3 linked regions of the Tribolium castaneum genome follow. The protein of the gene in region 2 purifies or fractionates together with the protein of the main gene of each other region. This does not show direct contact. Links are inferred from orthologs where the notes say so. Each region holds a gene or a part of one and is shown on either strand. Other genes may lie near its edges.

The links.
Region 1: the proteins of Rab11 (region 2) and nuf purify together in Drosophila melanogaster (affinity purification with western blotting; 5 studies listed by BioGRID, with this or other methods). This does not show direct contact. The link is inferred for Tribolium castaneum from reciprocal best matches to the Drosophila melanogaster genes Rab11 and nuf.
Region 3: the proteins of Rab11 (region 2) and didum purify together in Drosophila melanogaster (affinity purification with western blotting; 4 studies listed by BioGRID, with this or other methods). This does not show direct contact. The link is inferred for Tribolium castaneum from reciprocal best matches to the Drosophila melanogaster genes Rab11 and didum.

What each region holds. Positions count from the first base shown.
Region 1 is NC_087394.1:30,314,604-30,322,788, forward strand, and holds the start of nuf (rab11 family-interacting protein 4A), read right to left. Parts: upstream 4,740-8,185; 5' UTR 4,626-4,739; coding exon 4,479-4,625; intron 4,094-4,478; exon of another isoform or gene 3,992-4,093; intron 3,871-3,991; coding exon 3,732-3,870; intron 811-3,731; exon of another isoform or gene 576-810; intron 1-575.
Region 2 is NC_087397.1:10,553,919-10,562,078, forward strand, and holds the start of Rab11 (ras-related protein Rab-11A), read right to left. Parts: upstream 4,090-8,160; 5' UTR 3,854-4,089; coding exon 3,814-3,853; intron 3,521-3,813; coding exon 3,399-3,520; intron 1-3,398. Other genes in the region: wts (serine/threonine-protein kinase Warts), read right to left, coding at 5,638-6,066.
Region 3 is NC_087396.1:13,112,758-13,120,831, forward strand, and holds the start of didum (unconventional myosin-Va), read left to right. Parts: upstream 1-3,335; 5' UTR 3,336-3,504; coding exon 3,505-3,531; intron 3,532-6,114; coding exon 6,115-6,442; intron 6,443-8,074.

The DNA of each region.
Region 1 (8,185 bases), on a different chromosome or scaffold from region 2:
ATCGAGTGGATTTTTTCAAAGTTAGTCATCACCATTGTTTCAACCATCCCACTTTCCCCGAAAAAAAGAAAATCAACTAACTTTTAACAAAGCTTGAAATGAGTACTGCATTCCGAAATTGCCTTACAACAGGCCATATAACAAACATAATACACCGTTTATTAAAATTGTATGTAGGTGAGTAATGGTTTAGTAACGTTAATTAATAATCGCGAAATGGATTGTTCTGTCGTCTATTGTGCAGAATGGGTGAAACTTTCTTCTTAAACTATTTAAGTGAAATTGCCAAAACCCATGAGTATGTAAACCACCTTTTACAAATTCATGAAGATGTGACGCCTTAATTATTATTGAAGTGATTAAATTAAATTATAGGGGAGCAAGGCAATTGTAATTTAAGCCAATGAATCTTAATATCTGCGCGTACGTTGCTTCTATTGTATGCATTAACTTAACACCTACGCAAAAGCCTATAATAAAAAAAAAATCAAAGCCTCTACAAATTAGGTAACACTTGGATAACCAAACAACGTATCCACTGAAGGAAAGAACTCGGTTTTACCTAGCAATCTTACCTGTTTGTAAATAAAAAACAGGTGTAATGCACGTTAGGTGGTTCTAACATCCAAGGTAAACCCAGGTTTGCGCTATTTTAACTTCACTACACTAGTCCACAAGAACATTCCACGGTTTGAAGAGCAGTTTTGTTTAAATGTTTATTGATAGAGTGGATAACAATAAAGGAAATACAAGTTCGTCGGTGTCCACATACACTCACCTGCTGCTATGTGGAAACGGACTGAAGAATCTGAAGTGGGAAGAATTTGACGGTGATGATGGGGAGCTTGCGCACAGAGTGTTTCACCTGTGTTTGAACAATCAGCGACACTCAAACGGTTGTGTGGGTGGACAAATATTTGGAAGATCGTGTTTGTGTGAACTGATAAGATTTTTATCACAAAACTTTTGATTTTAATTTGTGAACTGATATGAAATGATATGTATTGAGACTTAGAACAAATAAGTGCATTAAAGAATCAAAATGCTATCTATCTATTAATTATTATTAATTAAATTATTATTAATATAATAATAATAATAATAATAATAATAATAATAATTTTTTCGGCGCATCCACCAAAAGTGAACACCCTTTACCGGTTATACAAATAAAACTGCATTGTTTATTTAGGGTACTTGGACTTATGAAATAAAGAAAAAATATAATTGGTTTATTAGATAGTTGCAAATAATAAAGTGGGGCTGTTTACTTTTGGTGGATGCGCCGGAAAAATTATTATTATTATTATTATTATTATTATTATTATTATTATTATTATTATTATTATTATTATTATTATTATTATTATTACGTATTAGTCATAATAAACAAATGTACGTTTAAAAACTCTATTTATATCCTACCATATTATTTATATAAATTTTTATTTTTGTGATTTATTTCATCATCCGACTACAGCCATAAGTAACAAGCACTTTTATGGATACCACGAAATAAGTTTGCAGATGGATTTAAATACCTATACACTGGGGTTTTACGATAATTGGATGGAAACAAAGAAAAAGTGAATATTTGAAACTTTTTTGCTCTACATGCTTACAATTAAAAATTCGTAAAACTATAATAAATTTTGTTGTAATTAATTATTGTGTCGTAATTCACAACCACGACTAAACAATTCGGTGAATGGAGTAGCGAATACACATACTGAAAATTAATAATATAGTAATAATAAAAAATAGTGAAACAACAATAGTTATGACATGAAAGAGAACAAATTATCTCGACAAATTGTTATTAAATAAAGATAAAAATTTCCTTCACATTTTTAATTTAATTACTTGTTTAATCGCAACAACTTTTGAATATGAAATTTTGTTTTATACTTAGAAAAAATCTTTAAAACTAACACAAAATTTGCAATAGTCTAATAGTATTCCAATAAGTTATACATCTAAAACAATTTACAAAATATTTTTTTAGAATTAGATCAGTACACGTTATTAAAAAAAATCAGATTACTGTGCTAATAAACAATAAAAGAGACTTTTGTATTCAAATGGTTTACTTTATGGTTTAAATTTATTTAATAGATAAACAATAATGTTACGAGAAAAGAAAAAAGACGTTCAGATTTATGGTTGTAAAATCGTCTAATTACGAAAAAAAATTTAGGTAATTTAAATAATGATCATAACAGCAGTTTTTTCTGCTTGTTTGTGTGATGTATGTGATCGCAGGAGGTCATTGCTCCACCTTTCCCAAAATTATGTATACAAACTTTCGTTTCGATTGATAAAATCGTGAATAATTTTATTAAATTAGTTCCTTAATTTTTGGAGGAAACCACTTTGTAGTTAGGTTTATGATGCTTGTAAATTACTAGTATTTTCATGCATCACAATACTATAATCACTTCTGAGTCACATCACGTGTAAATGTAATGTTACTTGTTTTTTCACATACCTACGATTATTACTTGAAGCTGTTAACTTTGGCTTTACAAATTTTAAAGTTTCTCATGGGTTTTCTCAAGCATAGCAAACGGAAATCCTTAGTGTAGTGCGTCCTTAAGTTGCTACAAGTGTTATATAAATTAAGTATCATATAACGACATCGACATCCGTCCGTTGTAATGGAAATAAGGGTCACTCTCGACTGAAAATAGCAACCACTCAAAAGCCCTCCGGGTGAAATCTGACCCGTGAAGGGTGACAAGTTCGGTTGCATTTGTGTTTGCCTTCAGATTTTTTAATGTTATTTTCCTTTATTTGAACTATATTTTAGTTGCGATTTGTATTTTTTGCGGAATATCGTATGAATTGGCAAGAGTAGACTGTATCCTGCAGGCTAATCATCTTCTGTTACCAACAGCATTATTTAGTGATTTATTATTTAGTCAATCTGCACTAATTCGGTTTGAAAACTATACCTAGTAGTTTTACTTTCATTTTTGTACTGTGATTATTCTGTTAAATATTGTCCTACGCTCATACTTTTGTGTATTATTGGTTGTCTACACAATCTACGATTGTTGCTTATTTTCATGATATAATAAACAATAATACATTGATACATTCATTTAGTTATTACTGATTACTAATTCCACTTACGGAATCTAAAAAAAATAACAATTGAACACGTATTTGGTTTGTGTGCAAATTATATCTATAATACCTACACCACATAGAGGAAAGTAAAGAAAGCAATACAATTAAACAAATTTGTACTTTTCATCCATCACTGGAACATGAATATTTGATTTAAGTACTAATTGTTACAATTATTTTAGTGAGATTTTTATCAACAATAATAAAATTACCTACCTAATATATTGAGATGATTTTGATTTTATGAGAAAAATTTGTTTAGCTTTATGCAAGATGAAATTTTATAATAATCCAAGTTAGAGGTGCGAACAAAATATGAAGAAACCTTTGGTTTGCGTACATTTCTTGGTTTACTTGTTTTTTTATTAAAATAAAAATTCCTCCATTTATTTAGAACAATCTACTTTTGAAATTGCATCGCCTAAGTGACTTTCAAAGTAAATGCACGTTTGCTTCTTCAAATCAATAGTAATTAATTATAGTTAATAACGGATGGTGCCGACCCGTCCTGATTTCTTATGCATATCCGTACTTCCACCGTCATTTCTGACTGGTGAGTAGAAATTGATATAAATTATCGCATAATAACGTTTACTTACCTTTGAGTTTTCTCAAGGAATACTTTCTTTCTTGAATTTTCTGACGGCGTCGTATGGCACGAACACCGGAACAAAATTCCTTGAACGACAGCGTTCCATATCCGTTTGGATCCAGCTCATCAAGAATATTGTTTATTTCCTGCGACAATGTACTGTCTTACTTATATAACATGATTGAGAAATTGATTGTGCAATGGCTAAACTACCAATAATCACATTTCTCAAGTGTGTTGTTTTTTGTGATTTTCGGTAAATCACTGAAGCATTGATTCGAATTTTGCACGTAGGAAACGGCAACAAGTTCATAAAATATTCGAACATATCGCAATTTCCTGTGACAAAACTACTATCTCGCTCATTATCGAAATGTTGAACCCCTACCCTATGTTTATTGGTTTACATTCCGTAAATTCTACCAACTGGAAACTGTTCTGTAGTTCACCGGATGTTAATGTAATATGAAGTAAGCACACATCGTGAATCACTGATTTGCTTACAGGCACTCAATTTGAATTTCTCTTTTCGAAGAACGTTGAAGATTTTTTCATTATTTAACAAAGTAAAAGAGCAATCAAAAACGTATTAAAGCATTTTTTTATAATTACTGTCGTGCCACAGAAATTACTAAGACAACTAGACTTAAATAATTACTCTAGATCAAGGTCACTATCTACAATTAAAAAATATTTTGACTTCTTCAACCTGGTTGTGAAAATAAATAAATGATTTTTTATGTTTTGCTAATACCTGACGGTGGTCCGTCTGTGGTGTGAAACTGTGAGCAAGTTCTTGTAAATAATCTATTTTAATCCTGCCAGTCCTGTCGGGATCACACAACCGAAAAACTGTCATTAAATCTTTCACTGACAACACCTTGTTTTGTTCACTAAACATTATTATCCATTTTTTGAGTCTTTGTTTAACAATTTAACAGTCACTGAAGAGTTATTGGTATAAAAAAGAATCATCGCGATTGAAAATAATATTTTGAGCGCGCGGAAGCGACTCAGTCCGTGTTCCACTAGGTACAGTATGGTACTACCTATAAAAGTGTACGTTTTCCGCACTGAAGGTGTTTCCGGGCTTCATAATTACAGATGTCCTTGTTTTAAATATAGTAAATAAAATTACAGCAAATAAAAGTAACTGTGGAAATAAAAAGATTGCGTGGAAAATTATTGCCTACGAGAAAATTAAATACTTAACTGGAGTTATTATCACCAGCTAAATTGCTTGCAATTGACATTAATGCTGTTCCAATTTATTTTTAATATTTTTCACAATTGTTTGTTGCTGAACATTGACATGGAAATGTGCTTTCGTGCTGGTTGCCATTTTTGTGCCAATAAAATTTATGGCTTAATCGATAAAACTTTTTGCTCGTACTCTTAAGAAATGTCAAGAGAAAATTACTCTTATAAATTTTCATCATGATTTGTAATTTATTGTAGTCGTTCTTTTCACTTTTAATGAAAACCATTGGAAAAATTAAAACAATTAAACGCTACTTTCTGTTTGGGCAAAATTCGTGTTAATTAAACAGCACTATTTCACGCCGTTGATGTGGAATTTGATCAAAATATACTCTTTTTCCGAGTTTCACCTTGAATTTAGTTTTTTTAGTTAATTGTACCTTACGAGGTTTATAAGATCATTTGTTTGTAACTCACACATCAGAGCAGCTAATGATGCTTTAAACCGCAACTGAATATTTGAATATCTTAACAGGTGTATTGTTGGTGTGTTTTCTTTTTAAGCAATGTAGTGATTAGAAAAGTTCACTGACTTAAAAGTTATGTTTATTGTTTACTAAATTAGACTATATTGGAAAAAATATTTTGTCAATAAATCATTAAAAAATAGGGGGAAAGTGTGGAAATTAATCAGAAGTATAATACTTTATGGTTTGTTAGTTTTTATGTACTACCTACCTTAAACTGGGCTAAAAAATATGTATGCACATTAGCAACATGTTTATTTTTATTTGAAAGTTTAAGAAATGTTGATACGCCCCATAAACATGAAATACGGTTTCGGTTTCATCAATAATTGTTGTTTCAGTAATTTTTGATCATAATTTTTGTGCTTATTGTAAATAATTATGAAAAAATATTTAATATTTCGTAAATTTTATATAACATATACGCTATTAACATGTATAAAAAATTGTGGAACTAAGTTGTTTTATGTTTTATAAATATTTTTTAAATTGTATTGGAATAGAAAACTATCAAGGGCTGAATAACTTTGAACAGATAATCAATAGATGGCACCAGGTAACAAAGATAACGTAAAAATTAATTTAAATTCTCGTTTTGAAATGAATTACAATTATTGTTTTTTGTAGTCTTGTTTAGAATTTATTTAATCAAATAAATAAATTACAGAAGTGTCCAAAATAAGTATTAGATGTTTGAAAGGATTATAATTTAGTATTTGAGTGAGAAATTGAAAAAATCAATTTTATGTCCACATTTTATAAATTCATGGACGCATGTTTGCATTTTTTTGTTACAGACGTTTTTCATTGTAAATATTTCGTGTTGGGAATTTTTCAAGTTGACCCTTTGATGTATTTTTAATGACACTTGAGTCGAGTGTTCCGACCGTCTTTTGTGTAAAATTTAAATTAGAATAGAAAAATTAAATATTTTTATTGTTACTAACGACGACGTTAATGGAAGTTGCCTACTTTTTCAACATGAACATGCAAATGACTTACAATGTCGTGTTTATAAAGTAAAGCAGAGTAAGATTTTATTCCAACACTGTCTCTGTTAGTAGCTATTTGATTACAATTCACTAAAATATAGACAAAATTTAACACATTATAAATTAATAAGATAAAAAAGATATATCCGTAGTTTAAGGCACGTCCAAACTGTATAAACTAAGCTAAGCTAATTTGATTCGCGTGACGTTTTTGGGGAAAATTACGTGTGTGGGTGAATTATTTATAAAAAAGTTGTTTTATTAAAAAAAAATTAGCTTAAGGTTTAATGAAAATAAAATAAAATTTATTATTACACCAAATTTTTTTGAATCTGTCTTCTCGCATTAAATATTTAAAGTTTCGTGACGACCTTGTCTAATTTTATTTCTGGGAAAAGTTACGGTTTAAAAAGGGAATTCTGTTATATAATTTTTAGGGCTTTTCAGAAATGTCACATCTTACTGCAAAACGCCAAAGTTAAATCAAAAGGCAAAAAATTGTATTAATAACATTAAATTTATTAGAATGGACTGATTCTTATTATAAAATCATTTATGTGTTAATTGTTTGTTGTTTCTACAAAATTATAGAGCAAGTTATTCAATACTATGTATATTATAATATCTATTATGCAAAGCTTACCAAGCTTTTCTCTAAGAAGGTTTTTTATAGTTTGCTTTTATTTTTTCCCTAATTTTTTTGTACTATTTTTTTTTGAATTCAGAACAAAATTTATTTGCTGAAACGATTTTCAGCAGACTTCGTATTATTCTAGTTTCAGCAAAAATCGATCAAATTTATTAAGCACAACTATAACTCATTTGGTCTTAAGTGCTTAAGTCTTAAATATTTAATACATTTTTTGTAAAATTTTGAAATATCCTTTAGTTTTAATCTTGAAAAACAATTATCTTTTTACCGTTTTTTAAGAAGACGCACTAATTATTTTTTCAGGAAATGAATAGTTTAAACAGAAACGCTTGGTTTTGTACTGTTTGTTCATACTGTTTCTTTGCTGTGGAGTGGACCATCATTTTGTTAAAGTCTTCAAAGTTCTAAATTTAAAATAAAGTTCTTTGTACATGTCCATCTCTTTTTGGCTGAATTGAATTTATTATCGGCGTGGTGAATCAAAGGAATCCGTCAGTCCCACTAGTGCCCTACTCCCGTCTGCAGCCGCAGCCACTCCTGGGCTTCCTGATCTTAATCCGAAACCGGGCCACCTCTCCAGGTGAAGTTTGCGCACGCCTCCAGCCCCGTCCTCCGGCGTCGCGGCGCCTGGCCGTTGTTCTCGCTTCGGGGGTGGCGTTCGTGAAGTGGCGTCATCTGTGAGGCGTCGCAGAGAGCGTCAGAAGGGCGCGACTGTGGTGGCAGGAGCCCTCAGTGTGTCCCGGCCGGCTATTGATTGCAGGAGCGCGCAGTGCTGAGCCACAGCCCGTGTGGTACCTGTCCTGTGTCCCGTGTGTTCACTTGGGGCGTCACCACATACACAAGAGTGACACCAGAGCCGTGCGGTGATCGAGTTGTGGTGCGTGTTGTGCGAGATGTGAGGCCAGCTCAGGCTCAGGACCGGCGCCGGAGGACGGGGGCCCCACGCACCGCCGTGTTGCAGGTAACGCATTAACGATCTGGCCCACGTTGCCCCCTTATCTGGGTCATTCCGGCGCTAATTGTGCGGCTGCACGCGCGCTACGCTCGCCGCCGACCGCTTCCAGCCTCCGGAGCGGAAAAGGGGCGATCC
Region 2 (8,160 bases):
CAAAAATTCATTGAAATAAATTGTGCTTAAGTATCATTGTCACAACAGTTGATAATTTTAAAATAATACGTTTCACAAGTTGCAATAAACGGTGTTTAAAGCATTTAAAATTTAACAACAAATAGAACAAATTCGATCTCTTTAAAAGTAACAACTTAAGCATACAAGTGTCAGTTGGCACAAAATTACAAGCGAAAAATCATTAAAAAAAGTTTAATTTTTTGAAAAAAAAAGTCACATTTTTTATATTTTCATATTTTAAACAAGTGCTTTCGGTTTTTCTCCTGTGTAAGAAAGTTTTGACAACTGTTTGGCATTTCTGAATACGAAACGTCAGATTTTTTTTAACAGATTTAAAGCAATTTTTAACGATCTTAAGTCTAATTTGAAAAATAAAATGTTGTATTCAACTCCTTTTCGTGTGAATCGGGTCATGTATTTCACCTCGTGAATGATAAACCACTCGTTTTAACTCGTGGTTTGATTATCTACTCGTGAAATAAAACGTCCAATTTACACTTAAACTCGTTAAATAATAGTGTATTAGTATATAATAGTATATTATGATACGAAAAGTATATAACGATTCGCACGCACGTATTTATTTATTATTTCTAAACGGTGGTTTAATCCAAAAACCATTCCGTTAGCACAATTCAACAAAATGGAGCTCAGTAAGAAGACCCAAGCCCAAATTTAACCTCATCTAAAGGCATTTTATCAAAAAAATACAAGTTGTCGGCCTTAAAGATATAAACAGCACAATAGTAAAAAACTCAAGACGGAATTAGAAAACTTGAAACCTAACAAAAAAACTGGAAGATAGACAATGCAGGCTGAAATAAAAATCACAAAGAATCAGTTACAATTTAATTTCTATTATGTAATGCGAATTTGCATTTTTTAACATTAATGTAAATTATAATCTTGAAAGGAATTCGGCTGCATTTATTATTAATGTATCAAAATACTCTCTTGTTCGATATACCTGACGCCGAATACAATACTCATAAATTCTAGCACCTCAGAATAATCATCTTCAGCAAGGTCAAAATTTAAATTCATCGTAATTCTTGCTTTATTACTCACAATAATTGAAATAATGTTTTTACTTTTCTTGTAAAATGTTATCTAATATTATATTTTTCTTACTTGCGATGTGACAGATGATTCCAAACAAACACAAATTAATCACAATTTGATAAATTTGACGAAGGCATCAAATTATGTGGGCCAATAGTCTCCTTATAAGATAAAAAATAAAGATATAACTGCAACATTGCAGAAAAATTGTATGAATGTGATAAAGATAAATTGTTACAATCTAAAGAGAATTCAATTTTCCTATTTTATTGCAACTAACTGTAATAAGCAAACATACTATGCCCGATATACTTACGAAGGTTTTGATAAAAACTTATGTAATTAATAATAATTTTTAAAGTAAAATAAAATAACGCGACGCCACATTTTTACCGTAATTGACAGTTTTTTATAACTTAACAATAAATGTCGTTAAGAAAGCTTTAATAGTTATACTTCACTTTTTTAATAGGTATTCAATGTTACACAAAATCATTATGTAACAAACTCAACAACCGAGGAAAAACTGATGCATCTCTGAGAATTGAATTATTAGATGTTACAGACATTTTTTTCTGTTTCCTGTCAGTTGATAGGATAAAATAAAGGTGATACGAGTTTAAATATTTTTTCTCACATAAAATAACGTATAAGTTAATTATATCGTAAATTATCTTTAACAACTTAGATGATGGTTCATAAGAAGAGTAAAAGCTTCTGAAGAATCTTTAATAGCGATAATACATTAAAATTTCTTCAATTATTCTTTTTTTTCACTTAGTAAGTGTATATGCAACAAATTTCAATTCAAACTTAATGACATCAAGCAAATAAATAAACACATACGGTTTTCCATAATTTTTTATTCAAAGATTCTTAAATGTTAGATCATTCAGTGTAACTCCACCCATTTAATTATTGAATAATAAATAAAAGATCGACAAGAGCAAACTTTTATTTTCATACAACGTATGCGAAACGATTGTTTTTTTGTTGATACATGTTTTTATAATAAAGAAAACTCTGAAGAGACAAAACCTTATTAAAGTTTTAAACAAAATAGATGGTCAGTGAAGTGTATTTTTTATTTAGAGTCAAGTTATGGTTCAACCTCGCAAAACTCTTAAAAAATCGATTGCACTATATTTCGTTTACAAGAGTTCCAAAACTGTTTGTATGTTGACGTTTGATGGCGGTCAATATCCTTAGGGCTGAGCCGCAAATTTATTTCTCATGACAAGTGGAGGGTCATTTTATTTCCTTGTAAATAAATGTTCGAAAACATGTTTTGGGTAGTCTGAACTTCTGCTAGACAGTTTTAATCTACCACTGCCTATTTACTAACCATTATATTTGTGTCTTCAAACAGGCTACATTAATCAATAATAAAATTATGTGATAAATGGTTCACAAAACAAACTGTTTTTTGTAAAACGAGGAAGTCTTCAACGTTCAGGAAAGCAATCACAGTGAAATATTAATCAATAATGGTTAAAAATATTCACGAAAAGTTGAATGTTGTATGGAATCATTTAATTACGAAATTACGTCTGGAACACGAACGATATTTCACCCATCACCTTAAATTACGTATTTCTGGTGAACGAAAAAAATCACCAATTTCTTTATTAAATTTTCCACATTAACTTAATCAAGCGTGACGTCATGTACAGAAACGAATAGGAGCACAAATTACCATTAAATTGTAGCCAAACTGGGGCATGTTTTCCGAATAGCACTTTAGATAATATCAAAATTTTGTTACCCAATTGGCAACGATAAAAAAATGGATGAATCACAGACACGGGATCGACTTTCCTTTGTCATACTCATTAGTGGCAACATTTTCATTGTTGCTGTAATGAGTGTAGCAAAAACAGTTGTAATCTTTCATAGTTCGCACATAAGTTCAGTGTTAAAATGAGCTGTTCTGGATATTATGCTCAATTTTGCGTTTCTACAACACTTACTTAACCCAGATTTCCGATTTAAAAAAATATAATGCAAATTAGGTGACTGATATGTGTACCATGGGATGTCAACTTTCACAACCCAGTGGGTCAACAATGACACAACGGTGCATTAAGATAATGGGATATCTTCGCCAGCTGATTATGACGTCTTTCACAAGACTGAAAGAGCGGAAAATAATGTCTCTTGAGTTGTTTATGCATCCACTTACACCCACCCGCATTTGTCAGAATCTGATAATATGAGTAAGAGATTTGAGCAAGTGGGACTATGATATTTACGGAAATTCGAGTCGTGACTAAATAAGATGCAGTAACCTTTTGTGTTATTGGTGTTCGACTCACCTGCATGCTACGAGTCGCGAATTCCACTCCTATTGTCGATTTTGATTCCAAATTAAATTCATTCCTAGTAAATCTAGACAACAGATTGCTTTTTCCTACCCCGGAGTCTCCAATGAGGACAACTGCAAAGGAAGCGGCACGTAAACATTTGCATTTTGAACCGTTCTGTCAGGTACGGTTTAAAAGCCAAAATCATTGATTATTCTAATTGAAGTTGTTCGTGACCGGTGCACAGGGGGCATGAAGGGGGCCCCTGATGCCGCTCTAATTGATTATTTTTGAGTAAGGACTTGGAAAAGTTGACCTCTGACATTGCTGACTTGTCACACGGGAACAAAATTTACGTCAAGTGTCAATTACCTCCAAGGTCCGCAACGTCAAAGTGCGATAACAAGGGCCCCAATTGGACGCTTACCTTTGAACAAATAATCGTATTCATCGTCCTTCGAACTCATTTTCTGTCCCTTCAGCTGATCTGCACCCTCTCCAAAATGTACCAAAATAAAAACACACAGACAATTAGTGCATATCACAAATATACCGCTATTTACACTCCACTGTTTATATCACAGACACATTTCAAACGATAAGTTTTGGTTTCGGTCAGGGATGTTTTATATAACTTTGGTAAGATCTTTACGATTTTATAGCGAACAAAATGGCGACCCACTCTTCTTTTATTGTTCGCAGATTAGAACGCCCCTTTGAACTGTCAGATTTTCGATTGTTTGCGCATGCGCGTGCACTGCCACATTGCCCATCAACGCAGTGGCGTAGCCCAAGGTTGGAAATCAGAGACGGGATGTTTCCAAAAATATATAATTATTTACACACATTTACACTATGTAGGCACTCAAATCATAATTTCCTAAGTGCATACGCTTTTACTATTTTCTTGCATAATTAAGGAACAACATTATGACCTATAAACAACATTTAAATCAATAATATATTTAAACGATAAAAAAATTCCAATAGACTAGAAAAATTATATGCTAAATTAATCCATACTTAAGCTAGGAGGGTGTTACAAATTAATTTTAGAATGAGGGGAAATGTAATAAATATTTAACTAAGCATTAAGTTATGAGCGTATCATTAAAACTAATTGTAACACAGCATTTTTTTTCTGAGAAAAAAATTAAACATTATGCTCTTACAAAACTATTTTGATTTACTGCAAGATTATTAAATAATGCTTTTATTCTTTTTAGTTAAAAAAGGCAGTGCTTGTTAATTTTCCTTGCTCTCTTCAACTAATTCACAATTTTTCCATCTAACAACTTAACAAAAACCCCGCAAGTGGTTAGTTAGTACCTTTAGACCGACCATTACACTTCGACGATATAATTATATTTACAAATCCCTAGAGTATTGTACATAATATACAATAATAATTTATTGTTGCATACAACTGACTGTCCATAAAAACATTTCAAAACTGCTCAGTCACAGTGACAACACCTCAACGATTCCAATTGTTTTTAATTAAATGCCAGTTGACGCCGTAGAGACCGTGAAATGACAGAATGACCGCGATGGTGGGGGTGCGCAAACAATCTATGAATTTATTTTGTTACAAAACAATAAATAACAATTTTTTATTCTTGTGTAATAGAACAAGATGTAACTTTTTGTACCTATTGTATTGCTACGACTGAATATATGGACGAATAGTAGGAAGTATCAATTTAAATAGTTAATTGCTACGCCACTGCGCACTAGCCCCGCCTATCGAGGTCTTTCTTCGCGTTCCAGGCCTCTAAAGCTCGACATAAATGCAATAGAACAACCACTCCAACAAGTCAGAAATAATTTTTATAGACATTCAGTGGATATCACATTTAACGTATGAATAAGAATTAGCACCATTTCTTCAATTTTTAAATAATTTACACGCTATACAATTTTTTAATTCAAATAGCGAATTGTACTATAGAATCTTTCAGTTCTTACCAAAGTATGAAAATTTGAGCTTTCCTATAAAAAGTAGAACAAGGCAGCTATTTTAAGGCTTTGGTTGCAAAACAAGCCCCGCCCCCGTTACGCCACACTTCAAAAGCGTGCCGTAACGAAAGCGGCGCTAAACCATCATTAAATAAGGCCTAGGAGTCCTTATTTGAACTAACCAGACACGAGAGCAAAAACACAATCTTGCGTACAAATTCCAGTTGGCAAGAGCAAAAACCGAGCGAAAATCCATGTTCCGAGGGTCCATCTCGGAACATTTCCAAGAAGATTACACATACACAGAGCCTTGATTGTCATTATCGTCTAGACTGATTTTATTAAAAGCGGGACCACCTCCGTCATCGAAAAAACGCCTGAATGTGAATTCGAAAAAGCCGTGAAACGGCTTAGAACTATCGGTCAGTTCGTCGGAAGTGCTCGAATCGATCGAAGCCGAATTTCGTAACTTGTCGGGATCGATCGGATCGAAATTTGACGTATCTGTGGGGTATTCGATTCGAGGTATGTGCGGGGCCGGCTGGCGACGCAAACCTCGGTCGAAATCGATGTCTTTGAAGAACGGATGCGACTTCACTTCACTAGCATTTTTACCTAAGCGTTTGTCCGCACTACAACACAATTTTAATATCAAGTCAGTACTTTCCTTGGAAAGATTCGCTTGCTTTGGTATTTGCAACGTCGTCTCCCAGTTTATCACCTAAAATCAACAAACATCGTCAGATTTCAACGCCACTCCTGATCAATACGGCTTTGAGATTAAGGCAATATATCTGAATTACGTGCATTTCTAATTGAATAATTTATCGAAGAAATAGTATACAATAAGAAAATTAATTTATAAAACATTTTACGAAGCCATGTAGCTTTAAAACAAAAAAAACATTAAACATGACAAATATTCTTTCAGTTTTTTCAACAGTGACATAGAACCTACATGAAACTTATTTTGGTTTTAAAAGTACTTTTAAACATAAATGTAATATCTGTGAGGTATAGTAATAAGGATCTTCACTAGGATATTGAAAAAGAAAATAATCACAATAACGACAGGACTAAAAAAAGATATACGTGGAAGTTAAAAATTAAAATTGGAAAAATGTATGTGTTATTAAAAAAACAAATGACCCCTACTTATAGATTTCAAAAATCAAGAATTTCAAAAATACTTCATCTTCAATGCAAGCAGCATTATTTTAGATAGATATCTAAAACAGAAATAATATAAAATAAAATAGACAATAGACATGCACATACGATTTTAAAACACGTATCGTAAGTGGCTACAAAAAAATTCGTAGAATGAGACCACATGAACTTAATTAATGTATTCAAAAAAAGTAAATGCAGAACTCACGAACTCACAAAATTAAAGAGTTCAAATAAGGACGGATCCAGAGGCATCCTAGAGGGTATGGCCCCAAAACTTCAGTTTTCATTGTTTTTATAAATTTTAATAAATATAAAGTGTAATGAACAATTTTTTTTTTTAAATTAATAACATTAGAAGTCATTATAATGCACATTTATTAACTATTTATTACTAATAAATAAATTATTATTACTTAAGAAAATATTATAGGAAGATTCTCGAAATCCAAAACAAGGAAGTATTTTATGTTTAAAAGTTCTTTTTATGTCCAGAAATTTTTATTATTCAAACTTACTTAAACACCCTTAGGTAAACATATTCTGTTGTATTTTTTATATTTTTAAAATGTTTTTTTGACAAGTATTTCAAAATTTAATAGTAAAAAACAACATTCTGATTAACAACCATGTATATCTAAAAATGCATAAAATATAAGGTGTTTTCATTAAAAAAAAAGAAAATTGAATTGTATCATTTTTTGTATAAAAAATGTTTTGAGCTTTTTTTTTCAAATTCATTAAATATTTTAACATACCGACCGTAAAGTTTCATTTAATAGCATGTCTAAAAATTTTTGGAAGTCCCCCCAAAATAAATTTCTGGATTCGCCCCTAAGTAAATATTTTTTGTAGCAAAACAATTTTTTTCATTTCCATTAGGTATACTGGGAATTACCAATAATTTTTGCAATAAGTTATTGTTTCTTTTTGAGTGACAAAGGTTTCTTGATTTTGTGGAACAAAACCGCCAAATTATAACAAGATACAGTTGTGGATAAAATAAAACAAGTTTTGAATTTGAGACTACTTTTCAAAAAATCTCATAGTAATCATGGTCCCATATTAGCAATTTTATTAAAATGAAAATAATTTGTAAAGCTGAGAACGGTCAGTCATAAGGCGGATTGCTTTCCGCTAAAATATTGCTCAATATTCAATTCATGTTTTCAATATTTTATTGAATTATTTAAAATTTACCAATAAAGAGCAAAAATTTCCTCAGGTATTGAACTTCCCAATCATTTCAATATTAGCTGTTATAAACTATACATGCACTTCAAAAAAATAATAGCTAAAGTAATTAATACTTTCAATAAGATATCTAATCATTAATAACTATTTTACAATTTTATCAATCTTATTTTAAAAAAAATAATTCGGCAAAATGCGACGTTGGCGTTTTTATAGTTTTGAAACAGATAATAATAGTTATATCTCCTAAAGAACATGTTATACCAACAAAAAAAGCCCCACAACTGTAAGTACTTGGAAAAAAAAAAAACGGAAATAGATTTTTTAATAATGTAATTTTGCTAATGTAAATAAATGTAAATGACTAACAATAATATGCGTTTTTTTGCACTCAAGTGTACTCCTATGCATTGCGACAAATTTAATAGAAAAATCGAAAAAAATGGTAAAA
Region 3 (8,074 bases), on a different chromosome or scaffold from region 2:
CGTAAAGTTAAGCGGTCATGAATTTCTTGTTTATGTTGAGGTATCCGAGAATCGTGGAATTATCGAGAGATACCGGTGAAAATAAACAGAATGAAACGCCGTTTTGACAATAAGAGATTAAGGTACAAAGGATTACGTATAGAAACATATTCTAAAGGTAAATCTTCAAGCTCAGGACGAGATAAATAGCGCTGAAAAATTTCCCCATATCCGGTTACAGCAACGTTAGCCGTTCCAGGAGCGTACGGTGAACAGTAAATTAATACTGTGACAGATCCGGCTGGATTTAATCTGAACGTATTACAGTCCATCGAGTTTTTTTAGGATCCGTGATCACATTTCTCGTACATTTTTGAAGAAATCTCGCTTAATTAAAAATTTAACGTTTCGTCACATTTCCAATCGCGATTTTGGAGAATTTCTCTTACCGTTAAAATAATTACAAAACATTTACATAAATACCATCATTGCTGACGCGGTTTTCTTAAATATTGCCTATTACCATCACGAAGAAAATAAAATAATTAAGTACCGTTCCGCATCGTATGTTAAGATCTCTCCGCATTATAATTATTATTGATTTATTTTGTTACTTTATCGTTTATTTATTTTGAACAAATTGTCTGATGCATCCGATTATACCGTAAAAACTGGTTAAAAAATTACAGTTAAGTGGGAGATCGCTTCAGTCGTGTAAAGAAGCACGCAAAGCGCGGTAACGAAACTGAAAATGGGAATGCATCCGCCACTTTATAATTACAAAACAACTCGAAAAATTACACTTATTAGTGCATACAGTTAACATTTGTTTTTAGCGGATGTGAAGCACACGCTGTAATCAGTGCAATTATTGCAACTGCTTCTGTTTAACGTTAAGACGGAAAATTATCTCTTTAGCGTGTCCGCAATTTCGCTGATTAATTAGTTGGAGAGATTTGTCCAAATATGAAAGGAAATCGTTAAAACAAACTCGCATCTTCCCAAAATTGCCCAAGGCACAATACCAAATTAAAAACTGGATATGCTTACCGTTACATTGGCTTATCGGACCCCACAAACGCTATTAATTTTTTTAACAAAAAACCATTAGCATAAAATCACACACCTGATGAGAATTTTTTTAATGTATAATTTTCTGTCATAAATATACTAACAATTATTATTAGGATGTAAAATCTTACCACTGGACGAGTACATTTGGCGCTTTATTAAATACAGGATTGAATCCTAAAAATTTAGCTAATTTCCTGAAAAAGATCACACGACAAAACCGTTGAAAATCACCCAAAATCTTACGAGATTACTTCAAGAGCACCCTAAAAAAACTTCAAAATACCTGAAATAGCTTTTTATTTTTCTTAGTCCTGTTATTAAGGCGCCAAATATCCTGGTCCAGAAGTAACATTTACACCCTACTTTTATTTGTCAGTATAACAAATCAATTTGCGATTATAATAGGTTTGAATGGTAATAAAATCCGCGTGGATAGATGAATGCTAACAATTTGTTACGAGTTCAACGGCTCTATACTTTTTTGCACTAGTGAATGAAAGAATTATTATAATAACAATCGCCAGATTCTTGAGTGCTAAAATTATAATTGTGTGGACTAATGGGTACCGCTAATTAGAGAATTGTACCGTATTTACACGGTTTCTGCGGACTAAGACTTATAATTAACTGATTAAAGATAATCAAAAATCGAAGATGGGTATGGAATTGAAACGCCTGAGGCTGGTTATTATTAAAATAATTTTGATTTATTACTTTAATATTCGACCCGGCTACGTGGATGGCATATGATTAACGTTTCGTGAAGAGGTAATTTAGAAATTATAGGCCTAAACTTTAGCATGACACTTAAAAAATGCAAAATTTTCCTGGGGCTAGATTTTTTCAAAATAACCAGTTTCTAATGTATTCATTCGTATGAAGATTTTTCTAACGGAATGTTCGCCAATTTTTGGTAGCTTTAATCTATGCATAGAAAAAAAAACAACAGTGCTACTTGTGGAAGCATTTTGACATTTTTCCCACATATTGATAAGCTAAAGCTGCTCAAGTCAAATGAGGGGCATTTAAGCATTTCTCATGCCCAATAATTTAAAAAAATAAGAGATTAATATTAAAAGTCAAAGTTTAAGATTATCGGAAGATTAATAAATAAATGCTAATTGGCCCTCCGGTGAGAACAAGGATAAAAAATTAGGCATACGCCATCGACCTTTGACCTGTCAGAAAATTTCCGTTAAAACATGACACGACTTCTACGAACTTTAGCGGTGAAGAGTGAAAAAACGTTACTTTGTTTTATAGAAAAAAATCAAGAGAGGGATCTACATTTAAATTTTCAGTCATGTATAATGCAAATGAGTAGACATTTCGATCTTGAAATCAAAAATTAACCATATTTTAGTGTAGCATTGTACAAGTAGGAGTACAGTCAACTATTTTACAAAATACACGTACCGCAAAAAAAGGAATCAGTTTTTAATTATTTGAAATGCAAAAACGACAAAAATTAACTATCATTTTTATAAAGATCAATTAATTCTATTAAAATTCGGTTTTGGTACTCATTTCAGGAACAAAATAAAGTTGCATCTATTTCATTAAAAAAATAGATGAATAAGATAATAAGAGAGCTCAGTATATTTAACAGACGTTGAGGTTCAATCTCAGCGTTTAATTTAGAAAAAAAAATTTTGTATACAGAAAAAAAACGTTTACAGAGAAGGCAGGTCGTATTTCGTATTCCACTGTATTTCGTAGTACTATACAGGTCTCAGAAAAAAAGTTTTTTGTTAAAATAGCTCAAAATGAGGCTGCAACATAATGTGTGAAAGAAACTTTAAAATAAATAAAGACAATCATGTAGATTAGACGAATTCACATCCAATAAAAGAAGTAACTGTGAGATTCTTGAAATGTGTGCAAGTGAGAATACGACATTAGAGTGAGAGAACATTTTTGAATCTGATTAGTCCTGATGTAGTCAAAAAGTAAATATTCCTGATTTTCAACTTTCTTAAACAATAAAACAGCACATTTTCATACTCTGTAATTAAAAAATTAAACAATCTTCGGAAATTCATCGCAGCTCATCATTAAATTCCATAAATAATAATATTTTTCATTGGAAACTCCGGTGAAGTAAGTGCCGCCCTCTACCATCACCTGCGAGCACGTCTGGCTCGACTCCGGTAGCATCCACCCGTACCTAACCGGAATTCATTCCTAGTGATCCCCAGAGGGCGCTAGCAATTCTTTTGAGCGCCAAATCGCCAAATCCATACTTTTACACATGACTCCTAGTGATCGAAATAAGCCACGCAGTGATTAGTGCGCATGGTGCGCCGTGTAGGTGCAGGTTGTGTGTTTTACTACCATTATAATACACGAGAGGGTTTTCTATTTGTTGGCGGGTTGTGCTGGCTCCGGATTATTCGTTTGATTACTTTTTTTTTGATGATTTATGAACAAGATCAGTGAAAACGGTGCAAAATGACTACCTTGGAGCTATATACAAAGGTAAAAATTTCGTGTCGCATTTATCTTTGTTAAAAAATCGCGAAAAACCTTGCAGGTAACATGATAAGGAGTTTTTACAGACGCGCGAGTCAGAAACGTGGCCCAAAACCGGTCCTTTAAATGCCATGAAACCTATTATTGTTACGCGATCAAGTGCTATAATACTAGAATCTATTGTTCCTTTTAGAATCCTGAATGAAGAGTTACTACTGAGTTTGTTGTCCTAGTCCTTTGGATCGATTGTTACCATTACAATAAATATGTTTGAGGATATTTCCAAAAGATAGACAGGAATGATAAGAGTGATAAGAAACATTACTATTTCAACCTTTGTTAATTATTCTTTTCGCGAAAAATATCGCTAACATATTGCTGCTTTTGTTTTGCATTCAACAAAAATCGCGAATTGTTTTTGATTCAAACGCGGGTTATTAGAAACGTGGCTCAACGTGGTCTTTTAAATGCCATAAAAATTATTACAGAATAGAATTATTACAATCTTTTCTTTTTTAGAATCTTTAGTCAGAAGTTACTACTGAGTTTGTTGTCCTAGTCCTTTGGATCGATGTTGCTAGTCTAATAATAACCAACCTAACAATATTTAAAATCACAAAAGGGAGAAAATCAGATGTAGTTATTTGTTGTAATTATTTATTAATTGCTGTTACTTATTACTTTGCATTACTTGGAAATTTTGAAACACAATAAATCAGAATGAATGTGTATTTAAAGCTTAAACGTTGACAAAATTTCTCTTTGTTTTCTAACTGATAAAAATTAATACTAATAAATTTCTAACTATACTTCACAGTAATGTAAAATTGGCATAGATTACTTTGCAATTTATTTTTTTGAAAATAAAATGGTGACACTACAGCAAGATGCGCTGTTTCTTAAATAGACTTCTGTTTGTTTAACAAATTAGTTACTTTTTGATAAAATATAAATAAAGTAAACGATAACGATGTAAAATAATTAAACTACCTTTTGAAGCTCATAAAAAGACTTCACTTTAATACACCTGATAAACTTGAAACTATAAATTAACCCTATTCCAAGGTAACCATTTTTTCAAATTACCCACGACCATTGATGTTGCCAGCAATAAAGTGAGAGTGATCTGAGATCTTGGAATTTTCTCATGCATGCAGTGAATGGTAACGTTTCATTAATTAATTGGTTCCAATAATCTAATTCTACTTAGTTACAAAAACTGGCATATTGGCCTCATTGCTCCAATTAAACCTAAATCAATAATTTGATCATCGTTAGTTATAATTACGTCTTCTTCACATCGTAAACACTCTTTTAACGCTCCGAAAAATTAATTAAACTTTAATTCGATTTTTTATCACCAATTTAATGGATCTAGAGACATTTCGGTGAAGTTTATTATTGGTTACTGCAAAAATAAATCAAAATTATGCTATGCGATTAGACAAAAATTAAGTGGATTTGAATATTTGTGTCAGAGTGGGTTGATTTCCGCAGTGCTTATGATAATGTGATAAATTAAATCGTTTTCCCATAGTCAGAAGATACCCAAATTTTAGTTTCTAATTTGAATAATCAGAAACATATTCATGTAGTGGAAACAATAACGGATACGGCGTATTATGAAAATTAATTGGTGCCATAAATTTAGGTAATAATCATTGAAAAAACAATCCAAACAATTTCGCTTGAATGGACATATGATATTTAGGCGTGGGATGCAAATACACCAATTTTTTTTTATTTACTAAAGTAACATTACGCCAATTCATAAATTAGAGATTAAGTTACGATTAACCTTGGTTTAGCATAAAAGGTGTTACCGATTTTCTATTGATTTATTATGAAAATACGTAACAAAAATTAATTCTGCTCCTGTTACAAAAAACAAAAGATCATAAATTTATTGTTTCCTGTGTGTGGTATGCCACAAATGTTGCCGTTGCCATTTTCGTCTCACTGAACATGCAAATGAAGCTTTTAATTTTTTCCCGACTGCACTATATAACAATCCAATTAACCAAACTGAATCTGAGAGTGAAAGTACGACCTATTACTTCCAACAACTGGTTATATTGTTATTTTGAACAGTTGGGAGTGCGGCGACTTTTATAAAAATCATGATCGAAAGTTGAACACTGTAAAAATCACTTCCATGTACGGAACTTTTTTATTTTTGCAATATCTATTTTGCTCGATAGCAAATTTAAGGCTTGGTCACACTTTTGTAGTTATCTCTGGTAAACATTTTTTTACTTTCATACATTTCCAATGACGAAAGCACACATTTCGTTACAATACCGTTATGTCCTCAAACTTGGCCGTCTAAAGTTCAAACAAATTCCGTAAAACGTAATCTCGTTTGTTTTTCCAATTTAGCATTCAAGAACATTGAATTATTGTCGCTCGAACGGAACATTTTCATGCAATTTGCGGCGGAATAACGAAATGTAGGGCTTGACAGTGGCGATTGATAGCATCCGTTTCGATGTCAAAGACCCATTTTTGCCATGATTCATTCGATAATCATTCCTTCATAAACATTTATCTTGTCTAGAGCTTATCATCACATTATTGTGTTAATTTCAGGGTGCCAAGGTATGGATACCTCACCCTGAAAAAGTATGGGAAGGCGCTGAACTTGAAGAAGACTACAAAACGAACAAAAAGTCACTTGAAGTAGTAACAGAAAACAACGAAAAGAAAACCCTTACGATCAAATCAGAATCGGATTTACCCTGTCTGAGGAACCCTTCAATTTTAGTCGGGGAAAATGACCTTACATCCCTCTCCTACTTACACGAGCCCGCCGTACTTTACAATTTACAAGTACGGTTCTGCCAAAATCGATACATTTACACCTATTGTGGGATTGTTTTGGTGGCAATTAATCCCTACGATGATCTTCCTATTTATGGTGAGTTGTTAAAACCGTTATGTTACGAGGAAAAGTGCTAATTGCCTGACACAAATATGCATGAATGGATTTTTTCTGTCCGTGAATACGTAATGAATTTATTAATTAAATGGAATTTAGCGAATCTGTGCCAGTATTTTTGCAAACCTACAAAAACAGTTTCTGTTTACTACAAAAATAAATATACCGTGATTCTTTGTTGATTTTAACGGCTACTTTAAAATAAACAATGTTGCATACACAATTTTATTATTAATTTATTTTCATTGAAAATTGACCCACATAACTGAAGGCATATTGACCGAGTGTTTGTTGATATTGATTTTTACGTCTGCAATGTGGGGGTTTGTTTGGACGTTATATTACAACAACTAATTAAAACAAACAATGCTTTTTCTATTTGCGAGCTTATGAAACAGTGACTACAAGAAGGCCTCTCACGTCTTAAGTGACATTCTAATAAGACCGTTTCCTTTGTTTTGAAGGAAAAACCCAAACAATTTACAAAGTTGCGAGTCTTCAGAGAAACCGCAAGAATACTACAAACTACAATTCAGAGCATGACTTATTTTGTCGCTTCAAATTCACGCAATTTGAAAAAATAACTGATTAAAATTTAAATCGAAAAACCTACGTGTACCTAGTACGAGTTGTATTTATTCGTCCTACTATTAAAACCCAAAAGGCTAAAGGTAAAATCAGATACGCTGTCAGTGAGTAAAAGAATTATTATTAAAAGTAAACTGGCTGCACCCACGTGAACTAAAATCAAGGTTGGGAAATTAAGTAGAATAAAAAACAGCGTACTTACCGTACTAATTAAAATAAACAATTTTTTATAACGATCCATGCCGATGCATGTGAAAACGATATTAAATTGCGAGCTTTGAACTAATTTTTTCACATTTTTACTATTTCTACCAACCTAACTGCCAAAAGTTAAAAAAAGTCGTCGACTTTCTCCATTTTAAACTATCTATTAGGTGACAAAAATTCGCCCTGTAAAAATCCACCGCTTCAAAATAAATTATTAGCAATTAAAATTAAAAGAAATAAAATGTCACAAAAACGTCTAGACTCTGTAATTTGGTCCATTGTATTCATAGGGATTTTACTTTCTATATCGCGAATCTTAAAATGTTACGAAAAATTTGAAAGTTGAGACTCGTGAAACATTCACTCGATGAATTGTGGGAAACAGGAATTAAAACTTTAAGGTGTACCAGAGGCATTATATCTGTTTTTCTTGTATCTTTTGATTATTCCTATTTACAATTAGATTGGTATAATTTAGGACTACACCAACGGTCAAATGCTGGTGGGAACCAAAATTAGTTACTCACATCCTGTAATCATTTTGCAGTAATAGACTTTAATACCGGTTTTATAACGAAATTAAAATTGTCAAGGTATTAGCGAACGCTCATTGTTTATATCATGCTATTATCACCGCGATAACACCTACAATTTGCGATAAATAATATGACTCATGTTGTGCAAACACGAGAGTAAGTAAATAACCGCAAAATTAGAAAAATCGTGCATATCGTAAGACGATATTTAATCTTTTAGCTACACATAAAAATAATGGAACAGCACACACCGCAACGATATTAAAACAACGTTAGTAAT